Lytechinus pictus: one gene and its partners. The main gene of each other region encodes a partner of the protein of the gene in region 2 in a complex. Links are inferred from orthologs where the notes say so. Each region holds a gene or a part of one and is shown on either strand. Other genes may lie near its edges. The genes, in order: protein virilizer homolog, E3 ubiquitin-protein ligase Hakai-like and N6-adenosine-methyltransferase non-catalytic subunit-like.

What was found.
Region 1: E3 ubiquitin-protein ligase Hakai-like (region 2) and protein virilizer homolog share a complex: the UniProt entries of both Homo sapiens proteins name them as parts of the WMM complex. The link is inferred for Lytechinus pictus from reciprocal best matches to the Homo sapiens genes CBLL1 and VIRMA.
Region 3: E3 ubiquitin-protein ligase Hakai-like (region 2) and N6-adenosine-methyltransferase non-catalytic subunit-like share a complex: the UniProt entries of both Homo sapiens proteins name them as parts of the WMM complex. The link is inferred for Lytechinus pictus from reciprocal best matches to the Homo sapiens genes CBLL1 and METTL14.

Annotation. Positions count from the first base shown.
Region 1 is NC_087246.1:52,279,919-52,287,504, reverse strand, and holds the start of protein virilizer homolog, read left to right. Parts: upstream 1-4,536; 5' UTR 4,537-4,738; coding exon 4,739-4,783; intron 4,784-7,586. UniProt on the Homo sapiens protein: Associated component of the WMM complex, a complex that mediates N6-methyladenosine (m6A) methylation of RNAs, a modification that plays a role in the efficiency of mRNA splicing and RNA processing.
Region 2 is NC_087247.1:8,408,520-8,415,622, reverse strand, and holds the start of E3 ubiquitin-protein ligase Hakai-like, read left to right. Parts: upstream 1-4,025; 5' UTR 4,026-4,072; exon of another isoform or gene 4,073-5,092; intron 5,093-7,103. UniProt on the Homo sapiens protein: E3 ubiquitin-protein ligase that mediates ubiquitination of several tyrosine-phosphorylated Src substrates, including CDH1, CTTN and DOK1. Targets CDH1 for endocytosis and degradation.
Region 3 is NC_087262.1:6,678,650-6,686,046, reverse strand, and holds the start of N6-adenosine-methyltransferase non-catalytic subunit-like, read left to right. Parts: upstream 1-4,355; 5' UTR 4,356-4,434; coding exon 4,435-4,500; intron 4,501-7,397. UniProt on the Homo sapiens protein: The METTL3-METTL14 heterodimer forms a N6-methyltransferase complex that methylates adenosine residues at the N(6) position of some mRNAs and regulates the circadian clock, differentiation of embryonic stem cells and cortical neurogenesis.

The DNA of each region.
Region 1 (7,586 bases), on a different chromosome or scaffold from region 2:
CTTTCCAAATTTCTCGGGACCAATTTGATCTCCATTTTGGTTGTGAAAACTTTTTTTTTTCCTTTTAAATTTACTTCAGCACCCCCACTCAATAAAATCGTTCCCAGGGCCCTACCCATGTGAGGTGAATTAGTACCCGGTAGGATTTATTTCTTGAACGCTTTAGCGCCTATAATGGCGGCTCAGCTAATAGCCATGGTAATTACCAAGTATCAAGCGCAGTAGAATATATGCATATAGGAACTGAGCTATATTAATGGACCATATTATTATTATTATTATTATTTATTATTATTATTATAATTGTTATTATTATTGTTTATTATTATTATTATTATTATTATTGTTATCATTATTATTTCACTTCATTTCCTTCTATTTTTACCTCTGTTCTTTTCTTGACTGTACCCCCATTGCAGAACAGCATTTTGACACAGCAGATAGATGTTGGGCAACATACTGTCCTCTGTGTTGGGTAATGTATGTTGGAAGCATATTCGTATATAAATATATATATATATTTATAGGCAGTTATTATCCAGTTGAGCAAATTTATTACCCAATTATTAGTTTTTATTACCCAATTTGCACAGATTTTAACCGATAGTTGTGTGGACAGTATGTTGCCCAGGGTTGGTTAAAAGTTGGGCATTTTTTGCCCAATTATTTTAAGAGTGTAATCCAGCTCGTTTATATTTCCTACAGTTATGCAAACTGTAAATATGTAAGCCAATCTGTATCGTTGTGTTTGTTTTTGATTTTTCGAATCGGAAAATAAATAATACTATTTCTACATGTATTAGAGTGTATTGTCTTTATTTACAGGTATCGATTTCTTCCATAATTTTGGGCTTATGAAATATGCATGGATCGTAAAAAATGCGAACAGATTCGTATCAAATCAAATTATAATTTTCCTACTCTTTATTATCGTTCCATGACATTTTCTCCGGCGACATGCAATCGCTCCGATGGAAAATCAGCACGTTAACCCTAATATAAATAGACTGGGCCATTTCGTCGCCTAAGACGACGGGGGGGGGGGGGGGGGAGGCTGAGACGAAAATTGGCACGCGCTACCCCTGGCATAATATGCAAAACTATAAGATCAAATTCTGCGAAAAATCTAAAAAATTATGGTTATTTTGCTAATTTATGCATAAAATCAAAAGGGTGCTCTGATGAACTAAATATTGCCCCTAAAATGCTAATTTTGGGTTCACATATAGGAATCTGATCAAATGCGTTTTTAAAAATTTAAACATCTCATTTATTTTCTCATGTATTTTATTATTTTTTAAATTTCTTATGTAGGCCTAATTCTTTGTTTTTCGAATTTTTGTTTTTAATTGTTAAGTTTTTTTCCAATTGAGATTGTCGGGGAATTTATTTTGACCATAAACAAGATGAAATTGATCGATTTTAATCAGTAAAAGGAAAAATAATGATACATTTATGAATTTGGGCTAAAAAAACTATTTGCATTAGATTTGTACACGAATCCACGTTTTTGAGCAATTTTGGGTCTGTACACTAAAAAAATAGATTCAACTTTGCCCCCCCCCCGAGTTTGCACCTTTAAAGGTGCAGACCAGAAGTCACACTGGGTGCAGCTTTAAGGTGCAACTTTGTACCTTTTTGGAAAGGTGCAACTTTGCACCTCTCTGAAAGGTACAAAGTTAAACCTTAAAGGTGCTCCCATTGTGCCATCTGGCCCCCGTCTTACAAAGAATTGCGATTGATCCGATCAATTGCAACTATGGGAGGCCAGCCAAGTCAACACATGAAATGCATGTTTGTTCAAAAATTGTTCTATATATGAATGTATATCCATAAAGTCATTGATTTCTTGACAATTTGGTGTGTTTTCCTTTGTTTACAAAGGACATTTTGCAAATTTCCTGTAGAAAATATTATGACACTGATGGATTTCCATAGAATTACTATTGATTGCATGGATCAATCGTAACTCTTTGTAAGATGGGGCCCTGGTCTGCACCTTTAAAGGTAGTGAGTGGGTCTTAAAAATTGCTGCACTCGTTTAAAATTATGTGCATATTATATTCACAAAGGAAAATGAGGGTGACTAATCAATAGTGAAAAAAAAAACACTTCACAAATAAGGAAAAATATTTCTTTATATATCAAAACAAGTATAAATGAGGATTAAACGGTGAGATGTTTAGAGGTAAGATGTTAGTGGGAAAGAATAGGATTATTATTATCCAAAATAGAGTGGACGAATGATGCTATCACAGATCACACTGTAACTCCCCCTAAAAACGTGTAAATAACACGATGATGCAAATATCAAAATAAAAAGACTGCAGACACGAAAATTTTTGAATAAACTTTAAAGGGCAAGTCCACCCCAAAAAAAAAGTGAATCTGAATAAATAGAAAAAACTCAAGTATAATGCGGAAAATTTCACCAAAATCGGAGATAAAAAAGAAAGTTGTAACTTTTATTTTTTTAATAGAAAAACATGTCCAACGTAATATCAAATGAGAGTATGGATGATGTCACTCACTATTTATTTTGTATTTTATGCAGCGGCGTACCTAGGATTTTCCAAAAGGGGGCAAATTTTTTGGAGGATATTTCGTCCGCGAAAAAATTCGACAAGCCCCCCCCCCCCCCAAAAAAAAAAAGGTCTTCAACCACAAATAAAGGATTTCGTACCAGAAAAAAATTTGACAAGCAAAAAAAAAAAAAAAAAAAAAAGTCTTCAACCGCAAATAAAGAACATTTCCTACCAGAAAAAAATTGCCCCCTCCCCCTTAGGTACGCTAGTGATTTTATGGTAGGAAATAAAGAATGTTTCAATTTTTGCAGATTTTACTATAATGAAGCATGTTTATGTTTAGTGAATTAAGTTATTTCATATTTCATCATTCCTTTCATTAATTTGCATAACGACCAGAATATGCAGCTAACTATTTTATGATGTCATAATTTTGCGATGTCATAATATAACTTTATTTTACATCCGATTTTGATAAAATTATATTAATGATATTTTCTCTCTTCATTCATATATGGGGAGGATATGCCCTTTAAATTTTTATTCAGAGATAATGCAACATTCTAAATTCTGAAAAAATTTCATTCTATTTGGAATGTTTTTTTTAAATTATTATTATGTTCACTAATGCAATTAATGGAAATGAGGGGGGGGGTCCACTATAATAGCAAAGCTTGTAAAGTGTGGATCCCCCGTGGAAATGAAAAAAAAAAATATTGCCGACTTATTCATGTATGCGTATATATGCAGGATAGAAAAAATGAGAAGGAACAAAAAGAATTTGAACTAGACAAATCAGCAGTCACTAGCTAAATTAGCTCTTCGTTTTTGAGAGTTATTCAGGACATTGATTTGATCAATGTTATCAATAACTCAACGTACATTTAATGGGCATGATGGGACAAGGCCTAACGATCTATTTGCAAAAATTGTCCCAGGTTTCCTAAAAAAAAGTGTGAGGATCATGCCCCTCACTCTAGTGTATTTAAAATAATGTTTGAATTGGTTTCTGTTTTTTAAAGTTAGTAACAATATTTAAAAGCATTTACAAACGTACTTGTTTCATCATAACCACACACTTGATGCAAGATCATTGATGAGTTACTTGCATTGTTTGTATTTATTCCATATATATGAATATACTTAACTATCACAATAGTCTGTAATTACAGGTATGTCTTTTTCATTTATATCATTATTATTTTAATTGAATTAATTATTTATTATTCATTAATTTATTTATCTGTTCATTCATTAATTTGTCATTATGGAATATATTCAACTTGGTGATAATTCATAATTGGTATGGTGTCGAAAATCTGTCTATCTGACGGTCAATTGGATCGGGGTCGCCCTAGCCACTAACCCGTCTCTGTGGTCTAGTGGTTAAGGCACCGGCGTTCAAAGCTGGGGGCCCGGGTTCGATTCCCGGCAGAGACATTTTTTCGGCATCACCAATTTTTCCAAAAAGGGTAGATAGCTCTGGGGAACCTTGATTTAAGCTACGCCTACCATTGTTCTCTTCATCCATTTCTTTCACACAATATTTAAATATAAAAGAGTTGCCAAAGCTTAGTACATGTATAACTTCACACATTTATATATATATATATATATATATATATATATATATATATATATATATATATATGTTCAAATTTAACAAATCATACAAATCCTGTCAAACATGGAGGATGGCCCATTTCAGCGGTATTTACAAAATACCCCTGTTCTTCCTTGGGATTTTCCGGGGGATGTTGGCGCTTCCCTCTGCTATTGAACTGAATTGAATTGAATGGAATAACTTAATTGTCCATAAAAGAAATTCTTCTTTTTTTCACTGGTTTACACACATGTAGATACAATGTATATACACAGAACAAAGGGAGTGCTTAGCTGGGTATTCTTTTAACAATAAATGCTATGCAAATTGCAAATGGTAAATAAAAACAACTATCATCACTGTCTAATACTATCGCCATTTTCCCCATTTTCGTTGACACAGTTAAAGACACAGTAACGATAACATTTTTTGCCATGGCCGCCTTACCGAGTCCCGTCGTCCTAATCAGGGAGTAACAAATACAGAATGACTCGCAAATTTCTGACATTATCCTTCCTTTGCAAAATCACCTTGTTCTTGATTTGGTTTTGAACAACTACAGAAAGAATTTGAAGATTTGAACCTTGATCAAGTTTGAAACGTTTGCAGTATGGAGGTTCTTTTCTTCGACACGCTAACCCACGAAACGAGTGAGGTGAGTCCACCCAATCATGGCATTGGCAATCGGCAATAAGCTAGCTCCGCCGCCTATGGCTATGCAAGGCGCGGCCGACGGCCGGCGAGGCGCGGTGCGGATGGGGCTGGAGTAGCCAGACAGGAGGCTCTTAGAGAGTAAAAATCATTCACTAACCAACATGTGCTGGCGCTAGTGTAGTTTCGCACCTCCCCGTTTAATGGTTTTCAAACATGTACAATCTCACCCTAAATAATTCACAACCTAAAATACTTGCATCTGAGCCTCCAAAGTCCAGTAGAAGTTGAATATTTGCCGTTTTGACATTTTTTTAAACAAAGTTTTACACCTATTTCGGAATCACTCGGTCGCTTGAAGCTCAGCGCTGCACGCACATAAGCAGTCGGTACGCGTACAGTACGTACCACCTAGTGACGTGCAAGAAGAGCGAGTTTTTCTATGGTATCTTCAAAAAGATTTTTTCCCCTCTTTCAGCTTGCACCAAGTATTACGGTAGTGGTTGTGCAGAGTGGTTGATGTTTGTTGTGTGAATCACTGTGAAGGTGTGTGTGGGGTGTGCGTATGTGTGCTTGTTTGAATGAAATAAGAAATGTGAAAAACCACTACCGTAATACTGCACTTCACTAGGTGGTACGTACTGTACGCGTACCGACTGCTTATGTGCAGCGCTGAGCTTGATCAAGCGACCGAGTGATTCCGAAATAGGTGTAAAACTTTGTAAAAAAGTGTCAAAACGGCAAATATTCAACTTCTACTGGACTTTGGAGGCTCAGATGCAAGTATTTTAGGTTGTGAATTAATGTTGTAAATCGGATCAAAAATCAGATCGAAAATCGGATCGGCAGTTAAGCTTCTAAAATCGAAATCGAATCGAAAATCGAATCGGCGATGTTTAAAAACAAAGGAATACATCAACATTTTGTTCGCGGTCGCGCGCATCTTCCTGACAAAGTCACAAAGACGAATGTTTAGGAATGGAAGTAGTCGACATGCGCGATCGTTTGGAACATGCTTTTAAAGGGTTTTGAGGTTTAACTGCTTAACAATAAAATGAGTGATTTTTATAAGAAAGATAAGCGAATGACGCATCTTCCGAGCAGTCGCAAAGGAAAATAATTCTCGTAGATCACAGGTCAATGAACGATCGGCGGGACATCTTTTATAAGTATTTTTATGTGAAGCTGAGCTCAGCTAAGTTCGCTCATTATAATATGTGATTACAGCCACGCCCAATAACCATTCCAAAGTACACCCATTTTGTTATAATAGCTTACTTGGTACATCATTTCTCCGAATCAGTTCTGGGAAAAGTTAAGTCACGCCTCAGTATCGATCTTTTTGTATACCCACCCACTCAACAATATCAGTGAATTACGCAATGCGCGCAAGCATTCACACAATACAAGATAGTTTTGTGGCATAGCCGAGAACTGGAACCGCCCAGACTCAACGGGCTAGCGCAAAATTCTTTACACTACCTTTTGGCATGTGCACGTGGTGGGTTTGATTGACACTGCTAACAGTGCTATTCTTTGAGTTGGCTCACTGGCTGGATTAATGACAATATATCACTGCAAGTATGGCTTACATGATACATACAACACGCAACACATCCATACACACTGCTCTCAAACTCCCTTGCTATTATTCGTACCTAGGCCGTGTGTGCACTTATGGGCGGGATTTAAGCAGGGCATTGACTAGCATATACAACACATCCATGCACCCAGCATTCATATACATTTCTCAAACTCCCTTGCTATTCGTCCATTGTGTGAACTCATGGGCGGGATTATGACAAAAATTAGCGCAAGCACTAGCATACGTAATACACACAATACATTCCTGCACCCACGCGGTCACACATAGCTCTCAAACTCCCTTGTCATTCGTCCATTGTATTCACTCATGGGCGGGATTTATCAGCGTAAGCACTAGCATACATAATGCGTACAACACATTCATGCAGTCACACACAGCTCTCAAACTCCCTTGCTATTGGTCCATTGTATTCACTTATGGGTGGGATTTATCAGCATAAGCACTAGCATACATAATGCATACAACACATTCATGCACCCATGCAGTCACATACAGCTCTCAAACTCCATTGCTATTGGCCATTGTGTGCACTCATGGGCGGGATTATGACAAAAATTAGCGCAAGCACTAGCATACGTAATACACACAATACATTCCTACACCCACGCGGTCACACATAGCTCTCAAACTCCCTTGTCATTTGTCCATTGTATTCACTCATGGGCGGGATTTATCAGCGTAAGCACTATCATACATAATGCGTACAACACATTCATGCAGTCACACACAGCTTTCAAACTCCCTTGCTATTGGTCCATTGTATTCACTTATGGGCGGGATTTATCAGCATAAGCACTAGCATACATAATGCATACAACACATTCATGCACCCATGCAGTCACATACAGCTCTCAAACTCCATTGCTATTGGCCATTGTGTGCACTCATGGGCGGGATAAATGACAAACACAGTACAAGTACATGTTCATTGTTTGTATATTATACAATACATTCATTCCAAGTTACACTCCTGCCATACCAGTCAGCGCAGCTACCGGTAGGTCATCATAAGTAGGTCAACCTTTTATGAGTCATTTCTGACATTCTAGGAATCTCAATTGTTCGAACTATTCGATTGTTAAAAAGCTCTAAATAGCTAGCACCTCTGCAAGAACAATCTTGAAATATGTTCTGACCGCACTGTAACTAGATCTACAGGTATGCCGATTTTTTATATCCGATTTTTTCCTTCAAGGGGCAT
Region 2 (7,103 bases):
AAAAATATAAATACATATTCAAATTTTCACTGAACTGCATAGTAATCGGAGTTCCATACTCCCAAACCGAAGGGGGGGGGGGCACTGATCTCTCCTCTAGAGGAGAGATCAGGGGGGGGGGTCGAGCATGAAGAACAAGCCATGTAGGAGGGTAAGTGAGAGGAATATATAGTCCGGGGTAATAACAGGAATAGCAGAAGTAGAACAGAAAGAAACTGTACCCCGTCCACAAAAATCGTTCCCCGGCTCGATCCCCCACATGAATTCTATCTAGAATTTATGGGGGGGGGGGGGGGTCAGGTTCTGAAAAAAATATGGACCAGAGGGATTGATCAAGCACGGGTAGGATCGAGGTTCACATTTATGTATAATTTATATTTTAATAGGTTGTTTCTCAAAAAAGGAGTTTATTTAGGTCTTCGATCATTACTCCAGATAGAAAAATAACGCGAGCTGATTTTTTTTAATACCAGCCAGGCCCCTGAAAAGAAGAAATTCAAAAATCCTATAAAAGAATTTATGGGTAGCATAACTAATTAGTATTACACTAAGCAAGGGTTTTGAAAATGGGGTGGGTTAGGGGGCCGGGGGTGGCCATGCAAAAAAAAAAAACAGAATGAGAAAGGCATTTTTTAACGTTTTTGTACACATTTGCTGAAAAAATGGGGGACTTAAACCCCCTTCGTTCCAAGCGCCCGGTTCCGAGCCCCTGCTAACATAAGTTTTCCAGGTTGAATGTCCACTGATTGGAACCAATCGTCCATCATATAGATGATATAAGTACAGTAGTTCAAATGTCCGCATATATATGATTTACTGGATGAATCGCTAGCAACAGATATAGACATCCTCTGAATGCCCGAAACCCTAGAATGCAGGTATTTATAATGTATTTACCCGAGTAACAAATTATGTTAATTTATATCAATAAAGATACAAAAAAGAGTAACAAATAGGCAAAAAGACATGAGCAGAATTATGTCACCAAAGTACCACACTATCTTCCCCTCTAGCTTTTAACTAACTTTTTTTCTCTCCGGGGACGGGGAAAGGTTAGCTAACCACCTAAACCCTCTTCCCAACTATACCAGACCCATTAGTAACATGGGGGGGGGGGTAAACTTAGGATAATTGTCGCTATATATATAAGCCTAATTTCGTTATCTTATATAGAAAATGAAATGATAACAATGATATTGTTATCTTTTCAATTTCTTAGACCGGGGAATTTATTTAATTGCACTTGAAGCATAGGAAAGAACACTTTTTTTATTGCTGGCAGGGGAGGGGGGGGGGGGGTATATTCTTTCAGTACCAGTTGGTACCACTAGCGTTATTAGTATATATCTCTATGGTTGGTACACATTGAATTTACTTTTACAGTTCGTGGAATGCAATTGCAGATAATAATGTTTTGTTTTACCGTCGACTGATTTATAGGCAAATATTCAAATACATCACCTGCATGTGCAGATCCCTTATATATTTACTGATCTTTGAGAGAGGGCGAAGCGAGTGGTGAACAGGACAGTTTCAGTTTTCGCCAGCTTTTTTGGCAGGCCTATATACACAGTCGGCACAGTCTCTTAAAGGAGAATGAAACATTTGGAACAAGATAGCTTGTGTGAAAACAGAAAAATCAAAGAAACAGATCAACGAAAGTTTGAGAAAAATCGGACAAATAATGAGAAAGTTATGAGCATTTGAATATTATGATCACTAATGCTATGGAGATCCTCAAATTGGCAATGCGACAAAGATGTGTGATGTCACTTGTGAACAACTCTCCCCATTATTTTAGTATATATTTCTTTTAAACTGCCTCTTTTATCACATCCATCAGTAGATCATGTGTTCTTTCTATAGGAGGGCATGTAATACAGATTTTTAAAGAATACATCATGGATAAAGAGTTTGTATCATCATCAGAAAAGGCAAAAAGATACATTTTTGGGGTATTTTATAGTCCATCAAAGGGAAAGTTGTTCACATGTGACATCACACATCCTTGTCGCATTGCCAATAGGAGGATCTCTATGGCATTATTGATTGCAATATTCAAATGCTCATAACTTTCTCATTATTTGTCCGATTTTTCTCAAATTTTCTTTGTTTTTATTTTTTTATTTTTCTGTTTAGACACAAACCTATCTGTTCCAAAGGTTTCATTCCCCTTTAAGGCCACCGCACACCTTACGACTGTTCGCGATCCGATTTTGAACAAATCGCATTTTGCTCATTTTCTGAAAATGTAAATGGAACATATCATTTTATTCAAGGTTAAAATTAATTGAAAGAATACTAATATAACCATTTTGAAAGATTGCAAGCCTTTATTTTGGAGTAAAGGCCAAATTAGTTTCGAATCGTAGCCAATCGTACGACTGATATGACGTCATTACGACCAGTGGCGTACCTAGGATTTTCCACAGGGGGGCAAAACCGTCCGCCCAAAAATTTGACAAGCAAAAAAAAAAAAAAAAAAAAAAAAAAAAAAAAAAAAAAAAAGGTCTTCAAGCTCGTCAGGGGGGCATTGAAGGTCTTAAAGCTCGTCAGGGGGGGGGGGGGGCAAAAAAGGTTTTTCAAGCCCGTCAGGGGGGGTAAAGATACGTTTTTGCATGGGTTGTCACTCGTCAGGGGGGCAGAGTGCCCCCCTGCCCCCCCCCCGTAGGTACGCTAGTGATTACGACTAGATATTGAAATTGCTTTTATTCTAAGAAGGATGATAGCATAGTCACAGATTTGAACATAGGTATTCGTACGATGAATTTGAGCATTACACATGCAGTAAGAAATTCCAAGTCTCAAATTCTACTACGTTGTATTCCAAAACTTGAGTCGCAGACCAATCGTAAGGTGTGCGGTCGCCTTTTCTCCCCTTTTCATTTTTCTCCCCTTCACTGATCACCTATTTCCATTTTCATTATTTTTCTTTTCTACTTATTTCTATTTTTGATCGGCCCACTCCCGGCATCCGCCCTTGATTAGGTTTCGGTCTAAACATATGGGCATATGGCAGAGAAAAAAAATGCAGTGGCAAAAATTAAAAATAGCGCGGCAGATGCAGACGCAATTAATGGCAGAGGTAAAAAAAAATGACAGAGGTAAAAATAACAAATAAAAAAAATCAGTAGGCCTAGCAAGAAAAATTACATTCAACACTAATAACAACAGCAACAACAAAAAGGGGAAAAACCCCTAAACAATCGTTCTTATGATAAATATAAACTGTTAGAAAATTTCCCACTTAGAAAACCCCCAAATATTCCTGCAGCAGAGTTTCGGAACTCCTATAACCTTATTGCACTGTGTAATCTTTTGTGTAAAATTACAGAAAATTGTAATAAAACTGTTTTCCCTTTTTTATAACAGACTTGTTCTGTAAACTTATAGAATATTGCAAAAAATCTTTCCTGTTATAACAATTCACAGGATGATTTGATTTTTTTTTTTTTGTAAAATCTGTTAATTTTTTTTTCTTCTGTGAAATCTTATGTTTTTTCTAACAGTGTAGGTCAAGCTCCACCTCAGAGAAAAAGTTGATTTGAATCAATCAAGCAAGCATAACTTTGAAAATATCATCAAAATCGGATGTGAAATAAAAAAAAAGTTGTGATCATTTGAAGATACGCTTGTAAAGCAGTTGTATACACAATTCAGTGATATAAAAATGAGAGATTCGATTATTTCATACTTTATATAATAAACTACAAAATAAATAGTAAATGGGTGATGTCATAATCAGGCCCCACATTGCAATACCAACCAGGATGTGCATATTAATGTTTTGTGAAATTAAGCGAATCTTTAAAATGTCATAACTTTCTTATTTCTTATTTTGTATTCGATTTTGATGAACATTTTCAGTGTTATGGTTAGACTTTTTATTCAAATCAACTTCTTGCCGGGGTGTAGCCCTTGATTATTATAGGGTCTACACCAAGAAAAAAGTCAGGGCTGTTCAACAAAGACTATCTATTCAATAAGAAACCGGTATCCGGTACGTAGGTGTGCCGGTTCACAGCTCCGCGATCCGATAACCGTGGACAACAAGCGTGGGAGTCACGATTAGGTGAGATCATATCGATCGTTTGAGTTAATTTTTGAGAAATTCATTTTCATTGATAACAAATTTTGAAGTTCATAAACTGTAGAGGTTATATGGATGTGATCATGGCCATGATTTAAATTAATTTTACAATAGTTTGGTACAAATTAACAGTGAAGAAAACGGTATCGGACCCGTCATAAAATAAGAACTTAAAAAAAAAGAAGATCATGTGCCCACATGTTGAATTTCGTGTTGGCTAAATTTGAATTCGGGTAGTAATTTATTTAGGCTTTTTCAGTTTTTGCCTTTACTGTTTACAATTAAACATGTTTATCTGAAAATGTATAATAAATACTTATCAATGCTTGCCTGCCGGATGATCCAGTACTTCATGATGTATCTGGTACATTTGTAATTGTCTCTTGTAATGTTGTAAATCGGATCAAAAATCAGATCGAAAATCGGATCGGCAGTTAAGCTTCTAAAATCGAAATCGAATCGAAAATCGAATCGGTGATGTTTAAAAACAAAGGAATACATCAAAATGTTGTTCGCGGTCGCGCGCATCTTCCTGACAAAGTCACAAAGACGAATGCTTTGGAATGGAAGTCGCCAACATGCGCGATCGTTTGGAACATGTTTTAAAGCCAGGGGTTTTGAGGTGTTATTGCTTTAAAATAAACCGAGTGATTTTTATTAGAAAGATAAACGAAAGACGCACCTTCCGAGCAAAGGCGCAAAGGAAAATAAAATGAAAATATTTCTCATAGATCACAGGTTAATGAACGATCGGCGGGACATCTTTTAGAAGTATTTTTAGGTGCTAGCGATTTAGAATTATTGGAATGATCTCTTACGACGCATCATCTTAAAGTCGCAAGTGCAATTAAAATGAAGTAGACGACGCAAGCACGCACGATGATTTGAAATATGTTATTAAAATGCTTTGGGTAGCTAGCGTTTTCAAATCAATTTGAAGTTCACGGCGGGGTCCGCTATCACCACGAGGTTGAAGAGAAGATGTCTATCATCATAAAGGAGGTAAGAGAGTAGTGCAGTGAGCTCCGTCGGTAATACGACCTTTCAAAGTTCACGGCGGCATCCGCTATCACCACGAGGTTGAAAATAAAATGTATATCATCATAAACGATGTAAGAGAGTAACGCAGAGAGCTCCGTCGGTAATACGACCTTTCAAAGTTCACGGCGGCATCCGCTATCACCACGAGATTGAAAATAAAATGTATATCATCATAAACGATGTAAGAGAGTAACGCAATAAGCTCCGTCAGTAGCACGATCTTTAAAAGATCACGGCGGGGTCCGCTATCACCACGAGGTTGAAAATAAAATGTAAATCATCATAAACGATGTAAGAGAGTAACGCAATGAGCTCCGTCAATAGTACGACCTTTCAAAGTTCACGGCGGCATCCGCTATCACCACGAGGTTGAAAATAAAATGTATATCATCATAAACGATGTAAGGGAGTAACGCAATAAGCTCCGTCAGTAGCACGATCTTTAAAAGTTCACGGCGGGGTCCGCTATCACCACGAGGTTGAAAATAAAATGTATATCATCATAAACGATGTAAGAGAGTAACGCAATAAGCTCCGTCAGTAGCACGATCTTTAAAAGATCACGGCGGGGTCCGCTATCACCACGAGGTTGAAAATAAAATGTAAATCATCATAAACGATGTAAGAGAGTAACGCAATGAGCTCCGTCAATAGTACGACCTTTCAAAGTTCACGGCGGCATCCGCTATCACCACGAGGTTGAAAATAAAATGTATATCATCATAAACGATGTAAGAGAGTAACGCAGAGAGCTCCGTCGGTAATACGACCTTTCAAAGTTCACGGCGGCATCCGCTATCACCACGAGATTGAAAATAAAATGTATATCATCATAAACGATGTAAGAGAGTAACGCAATAAGCTCCGTCAGTAGCACGATCTTTAAAAGATCACGGCGGGGTCCGCTATCACCACGAGGTTGAAAATAAAATGTAAATCATCATAAACGATGTAAGAGAGTAACGCAATGAGCTCCGTCAATAGTACGACCTTTCAAAGTTCACGGCGGCATCCGCTATCACCACGAGGTTGAAAATAAAATGTATATCATCATAAACGATGTAAGGGAGTAACGCAATAAGCTCCGTCAGTAGCACGATCTTTAAAAGTTCACGGCGGGGTCCGCTATCACCACGAGGTTGAAAATAAAATGTAAATCATCATAAACGATGTAAGAGAGTAACGCAATGAGCTCCGTCAATAGTACGACCTTTCAAAGTTCACGGCGGCATCCGCTATCACCACGAGGTTGAAAATAAAATGAATATCATCATAAATGATGTAAGAGAGTAACGCAATAAGCTCCGTCAATAGTACAGTCTTTAAAAGTTTCTGGCGGGGTCCGCTATCACCACGAGGTTGAAGAGAAGATTTATATCATTATAAACGATGTAAGAGAGTAGCGCAGTGAGCTCCGTCGGTAATACGACCTTTCAAAGTTCACTGCGGCTTCCGCTATCACCACGAGGTTGAAAATAAAATGAATATCATCATAAATGATGTAAGAGAGTAACGCAATAAGTTCCGTCAATAGTACAGTCTTTAAAAGTTTCTGGCGGGGTCCGCTATCACCACGAGGTTGAAAATAAAATGAATATCATCATAAACGATGTAAGAGAGTAACGCAATAAGCTCCGTCAGTAGCACGATCTTTAAAAGATCACGGCGGGGTCCGCTATCACCACGAGGTTGAAAATAAAATGTAAATCATCATAAACGATGTAAGAGAGTAACGCAATGAGCTCCGTCAATAGTACGACCTTTCAAAGTTCACGGCGGCATCCGCTATCACCACGAGGTTGAAAATAAAATGTATATCATCATAAACGATGTAAGGGAGTAACGCAATAAGCTCCGTCAGTAGCACGATCTTTAAAAGTTCACGGCGGGGTCCGCTATCACCACGAGGTTGAAAATAAAATGTAAATCATCATAAACGATGTAAGAGAGTAACGCAATGAGCTCCGTCAAT
Region 3 (7,397 bases), on a different chromosome or scaffold from region 2:
GGAAATTCGTGATCACTCTCGCAAAAAGTGTTCTTTAGCTTTCGAGTGCCGCTGCAACTCTTTATCCTTGTTGACCATAGTAGATTGCGAGACAAATGAATACCATCTAGCGATTATTTCATTCCGCAATAATGAACCTATTTAGTATTATTTTATATTTAGACCTAAAAAGGGACATTATAAGCAAATTTTTGTAAACATAATACGTACGTGTCTTACTAAACAAACAATGCAAGCGCGAAGCGCGAACTGAAATATTTGTATAATATTGTCCCCAAACAGGGACATTTTAAGGACTTTTTTTTTGGGGGGGGGGACTCCATTAAGAGTATATATCTCACCATATTCATCTGATGCGAGTTCAAAGCGTTTGCTGATTTTGTTAGAATTACATCTAAACACAATCATGAAGCACCTATTCATACGCGTCTCACCAAACAAATATTGCGAGCGCGAGCTGAATTCAGATCTGAAGAGGGGCATCCTAAGGCTTGTTTGTATAGGAATTCACTAACCAAATGATGCGAGCGCGAAGCACGAGCTGAAAATTGTTGATATTCCGATCAGAAAAGGGGACATTTTAAGGACGGATTTTAGGAATTCATGAAGGTTAGACATATCTCACCAATCCACATAATGCGAAGGTAAGCACTGTCTGGAAATGTTTTATAATCAGACCTTAAAAGGAGGCAAGCAAGTCTTGAAAAAGAAGCATATGTCACTACATAAAACGATAATATCTCGGCGAGGAAATATATTTAGTGTATACTGACTTGAAAACGGGATGTTTTAGCACAACAGGGTAATATATATATCTCCATACCACATCATGGTATGAACAAGATTTTTTTATGATTGTGGCCCCGAGCATTGCCATAGAGCTAAGCTCATTGCGTGACAAGTACAAAAAAAGGGAGGCACAGTATGGCGCACGCAGCAAAAAATTGCTTAATATAAGTCCCGAGCTTGTACCTTGTACCTTGCAGTTCTATTCCCTGAAGTCCTCCACCAGGAAGGGTAACTCAGGGCTGACGAGAGTGGGAGTACTGTTACTCTGTTTTGTTTTGTTGCATGATTTGCATGTTTAGTTTTACTTTAAGTATATCAGTGCTGTTGGAGGATACCGTATCGGATGTGAGACTATTCCAGTGGGAGATTGCTTCAGGGAAGAAGTAATTAGCCAGTTGGGTAGTTGTGATGAACTTTGAAGTGACGTCTGTTCAGACGTCATACAGTTCATCATGGGATCTTCTTAATCTTGTTATTTTTCTTGTGGCATATTTATTTAAGTCAAGTTGAGTTTCTCCATGGATGATCTTATATAAGTTGATGATTCGGTGATTTCGCCTCCTTTCTTCGAGAGACATCCAGCCAAGTGTTGTCATTATGTTTGTAACGCTGGATCCCCGTGTGTAGTTCCCTGTGACGAATCGGGCGGCTCGTCTCTGAACCATTTCCAGCAATTTGGTGTTCTTGATTGTGCCTGGGTGCCATGCTATCGAAGCATATTCCAGGTGGGGTCTAACAAGTGTGTGGTATAGACGTTCTTTCACTGTTTTAGAGCAGTGATAGAAGTTCCTTCTGATGAAGTTTAAAGCCCTCGTACCTTTGGCGGATGCCTGTTGTGACTGCTTATCCCATTTTAGGTTGTTTTCTATAATTATGTATTCCTAGGTATTGATGGCTATTTACTTCCTGAAGTTGTTGACCAAGGAGTGAGTAATTGGTATGTCCTGGTACTCGCTTTCTGGAGATCCTCATCGGAGGGGTTGGATATTGCTCGGTAGAGTATGCAGTCATCTGCGAACAGTCTTGCCGTGCTGTGAACTGCTTCTGAGAGATGGTTTATGTACAAAATGAAGAGGTGGGGCCCGAGGACTGTTCCCTGTGGAATACCGCTTAGGACTGGTAACCAGTTTGATGTTTTACCATTCACTACTGTTCTTTGATATCTCTGGGTCAGGAAGGATCTTATCCACTCAAGGGTCTTGCTACGGATGCCATACAAGTGAAGTTTCTGCAACAATTTCTTGTGGGGGACGACATCGAATGCTTTGCTGAAGTCGAGTATTGCGATGTCACATGTCTCCTTGTTGTTGTGATGAGTAGCAAGATCATGGATTGTGGCAACTAATAATGTGTCACATGATCTACCCCGTCTGAAAGCATGCTGGTAGTCAGAAAGGATTGAGTTTGTAGTAAGGTGTGTCATTAGATGGCTGTCAACTATATGTTCCATAAGTTTGCAGCATACACTGGTCAACGATATAGGGCGATAATTAGCTGGTTCATTTTTAGGACCCTTCTTGTAAATAGCAGCGATGTTCGCTTTACGCCAATCCTCAGGAAGGATCCCTTGGTCATATGACTGTTTAAATATGAATTGCAGGACTGGGGCTATTTCTTCAGCTGTAAGTTTAAGAACACGGTTTGGTATGCTATCTGGTCCTGCGGCCTTTGAGACCCCGGGGGGGGGGGGCACTCAATATATAATGCATAGTGGGTATGTGCCGCGGAGGGGACCCCCATTTTTACACTCAAATTTCCGTTCCAAGGCATAGCATTTTTGTCTTATTGAGAAAAAGAACAAAGAAAGCCGCTCCAAAGCATAGCATTTTCTTCTTATCGAGAAAAAAGAATAGAGAAATCCGCTCCAAAGCTTCGCATATTTTTCGTTACGCCGTTCCGGTCGCATTGATCTGCTACAAGGAGCTGCAATTTTGGTGAAAAGCGGCCGCAGAGCGCTGTCCGACCATCGCCGCTTCTGCGCGAGCGCACCCGGCGGAGGCCGCGCTAGCTGTATCATGCACGCATGCCCGTTCCATAGGGATGCATGCGCACTCATCACACGCTGGCGATCCGTTCCAAGGACCCCCGTTTTCACAAACATTTGTAGTTCCGAAGCCCGTTCCGAGGACCCTCCTTTTTACAATTAGCCCGCTCCAAGGCCCCCGTTTTTTGTCTCGCCCGCGGCACACCCCTACCACTTTTTTGGTCGAGTGCCCCCCCCCCCCCGGGTTTGAGACATCTAACTTGTTCAATAGCTTGATGATGCCACTAACCGTGATGTTGATATCTGGCATATCAGGGATGTTATATTCTTGTTGGAAGGTTGGGGATTTGGGTTTCGTCTCTTGAGAAGACGCTCTGGAACTGTTCGGCCAGTGCGTCTGCTTTCCCTTGGTCATCAGTGATGATTTCGTTTCCCTTCTTAAGGCTCTGGATCCCTACGTTGTCTTTGCGCCTGGTTTTGATATATTTCCAGAACTGTTTATTACCGAGCGAAGCGAGCGAGAAAAAAAGTCACCTTTTCATAAGAATCTAATTTTGAGATTGATTTTGACATGGTATTAAAAAAATATATATTTTACATCTTCCTTTCCTTTTTTTTCATCTTTTCTTTTTTTTTTGGTTCTCGGTTGTAGAGCTTTTGGGGGCCAGTGATATGCGGATCGGGTCCGGGGCAATGGCGGCACCAGGATTGTTAACCGGGGGAGGGGGGCAAAATAGCATTTTTTGGGGGGGCAACACACAAATGGTTTGCCTATTTCTCAAAATCGAGCGAGAAGCACGAGCTGATTTTTTTTTATGTAGACCCTACTGACTTGAAAAGGGACCTGTTAAGGACTAGCTGTTTGCATTGGGTCAATCATGAAGATGATATCTCACCAAATAAATAATGCGAGCGCGCGAAGCTCGAGCTGAAAATTTTTGACATCCTGAGATGATAACTGGACGTTCTAAGCACTTTTTGCAATCATGGGCTGGATGGCTATTTAATCCAACAATAAAATTGATGCGAGCGCGTAGCGCGAGCTGAACATTTTTCATTTATGAAAATTATGAAGATTTTTCCAAATCTAAAGAACGAAAAAGCTGTTTTGGAGCACTTAGCAGCTTTAGTAGGATGCTTATGACAACATTTACTATACATTTTTTTTTCAAAATTCGGGGGGGGGGGTGCAACTCACTGGGGGCAAATGCCCCCTGTGCCTTCCCCTTTTCCTTTTTCCTCTTTTCTTCATTTCTTTCTTTCTTTCTTTCCCCTTCTCTCTTTCTCTTTTTTTTTTCTTTTTCCCATTTTGTTATTTTCCCGGTGAAATCCGCCAGAGGGGGCAGCTTGCCCCCCCCCCCCCCCGCCTGTTACGCCACTGGTGAGTGAACGAAGAAGACAAGCGGGAAAGGAAATAAAAGGCGGTCAGAAATAAATAAGAAAATATAAGGAAAATTAGAGTGGAAATTGGAAAGTAGAAATATAAGAGGAAATTAAGAAACCATGCACGGCAAGAACCAAACTGCAAACAATCCTAAGACTTGTCTTTTTTTTTCTTTTTTGTTGTTGCTATATTGGTGTCTCAGCGACACCATCCTAAGGAACATCCAGCGTCAAACTAAGTTTTTTTCCTCGATACAAAACTCCTTTTAAAAGTGAGAATGTCTGAAAGGCTGAAGTCAATAAGAGCGCGGTCCTCCCAGCGGAGAAAAATCCTTGCCCAGCAGGTGAGTCTAAATTTGTTTATATAGTCGGTGTTACCACGTCAATTTACACACAACATTCTAACTTAATACAAGTTACAGAAAAAGGAAACACGGATCTTTACGCGTGGGGCAATGCAAATTCAAGCCGTTGTCTACGTCGCTCGTCGCCGAAATGCAGCCAATGTCCACCCAGGCCAAGGGTTCATTACATGCCGCCGCGCACAGAAAAATCAAGCCATAGAAGTCGTGTGTTGTGGACCCAAGAAGTGAGATCCCAGCACGCGCGACCCACTAGTTAGAAATCCACTGCCAAACGAGGTTCGTGGTGCGAGGTAGTAATAGTAATACTAACCTCGCAATACCGGTACGTGTGAGTGGCCAATGGCAATGTCGAGCCCTACTTAAGGTCTCGTGAAACTTTTAATAGCAGAGACTAGAGGCGCATGGCCAATAATGGGAGACTGTCACCATCATCATGATCTTGTTCTCTTTGTTATTAGCTTAGCTACGAGACGCATATAGAGGGCGGCAACATCATGGGTAAGGATCTTAAAAAGTTAAAGACTTTAGAATATAATTAATAAACCACAAATTATTAGCAAAAAATAATTTGTCCAAATATTTAAATTGGCATAGTTTTTATCATTTGTAAACAAGGTGCGTAGCTTTAGGTCACCCCATCATACATTATCAATTTTATTTTTGAACAAATATTCATTCAAAAACCAAAAAATGTATAATGAGAAGATGGGAGAAAACTTACCGATGTTTACGGCATGATGTTGCCGCCCTCTATATGCGTCTCGTAGCTTAGACAGCTGGCAGCCGTCTGTTTCGAGGAGTTTTTTAACATTTTTTTATTTTTTAAATTTCTCCTCGTACACAGACGGCTCGCTATCGTGCAGCCACCATTAGGGGACTTACAATGCAAAATCCCCATGTCGGGGCTCTTCAATTTTTGTCTTTAATGAATCAAACTTTTGAAAATTAATCCAACCGAAATGCAAATTAATATTCCCTCTTGGCATTAATTGCCCCAAAAACGGGGAAAATCAAGTTAAAAGGAACAAAAACAGTGACTTACCTCGGCTGTTGCGCAACTTCACTGCCCTGTTTTATCCGAACTTAATGCACATAAACATATGGCCATTGAGTCCCCTGTACAGATCGCGCTAGAACTTCGGTCTCTGTATTTGGTGAGTGAAGCCAACGGAGTTCAGCTGAACAACCAACATAACAGAGACCGAAGCTTTTGGTCTACTCGTAGCTAAGCTAATAACAAAGAGAACAAGATCATGATGATGGTGACAGTCTCCCATATTGGCCATGCGCCTCTACTATCAAAGTACACACCCGAAGAATCAAAACTATTTTATAATTAATTTTTGTGGTCATCATTGTAAAGGGGAAGGATTACTTATCATATATCTAACTTCACTTTTTGAAATAGTGATTAGAGTTTGCAGAAATCGGCTCTCAAAAATGATTTATTTTCATGCCATATTTCTGCCTTCCACCGGTCCTCTTGCGAGCTCCAGCTGAGTGACGTCACACAATGAGCGGTGAGCAGCTGAGCTGACAGCAGCCCATTGAAAACGACCTTTCCAATCAGCGTTTTTTGCTCTTAGAATTGTTTATTCCTCATAAGATTGGTCTTGTTATATAGATAAAAGTTTGAATTTACTGAACAATGAAATAAAATGCACATTTAACGTATTTTGGTAACCGATATTTAGCTTAGAAAAAATGATTTTTTTTTTCAAGAAATATATGTGAATAAACAAAGCACATTTTCACTTAGAAATCACACTTGCGTCACATTAATATTATAATCAATATAAAGCATAGACATTCTTCTTCACGCCTGAACAAAAATTATGAAATTTCATTACGTAGCAAAGTCAGGAACCACAAAAAACACGGTAATATCCATCACGAAATGATTGGAATTGCAGTTGAATTGCCGAAGCATTATGAGGCAACAGTGGCGAACGGACTTTGTTTCATATATCCTTAAAAGCCCCAGTGCGAGTAAGAAGCGGTCTGTGGCCAAACCGGTAAAACGTTATTTTGATGAGTACGAGGACCCTGGTTCGAAACTCGTGATATTTTTTTGTTCGGGGATTTTTTGTAAAATCATTTTATTCCTTCCCCATTCCTACCCAGCTCTTTTTTTCTCTTTTTATTTTCATGTGAGATTCTATTCAGACCTGCATTTATTAAATCGTACTTAATTGCTGCTTTTGATTTTCAAGTTCTTGATTAGATTCTGCACTTATTTGGGCAGGGATGGGAGGGGTAGAGGATGAGTTAAATGTCAAGTCCACATCAAGTAAAAATTATTTGAATAGAGTAATTTCCCTTGTTTTTTTACTCAAAACAGTTATAAACACAAAACAATGACATGCACATTAGAGTTGATTATGTCACATCTTATTCATTTCAAATTTTGTTAAGCATTTTATTTTTTATTATTTAATTTGAATCAGTTTTTATGAAATTTTCTGAATATTTTTTTTTTGTAATCAAATGAATTTTTGGTTGGGTGGACTTCTCCTTTACTCTTCACATGGAATACATAGCAATATTTATCCAGAAACAAAATTGTCTTAAAATGTGCAAACCAGTAATTGGACACATGTTCACTTTCCTTTCATCCAGGCCACTTCCTCGATCACATCCACCAGGCTTACAGTCTTATAACAAACATGATGCACCATCACACAACTGCAAACAACATTCACAGTGCTTCACAATAAATATTTCACTTTTGTTCATACATGCAATGAATATTGTGGAAAACAATAACAGGCATACCCATATTCCAATATCATTTAAAAGGACAAATATATTATACCTTTCGAGAAAAAAATTCTGACGATATATACACGACACTTAACTTTCAGCAATCAGCATGG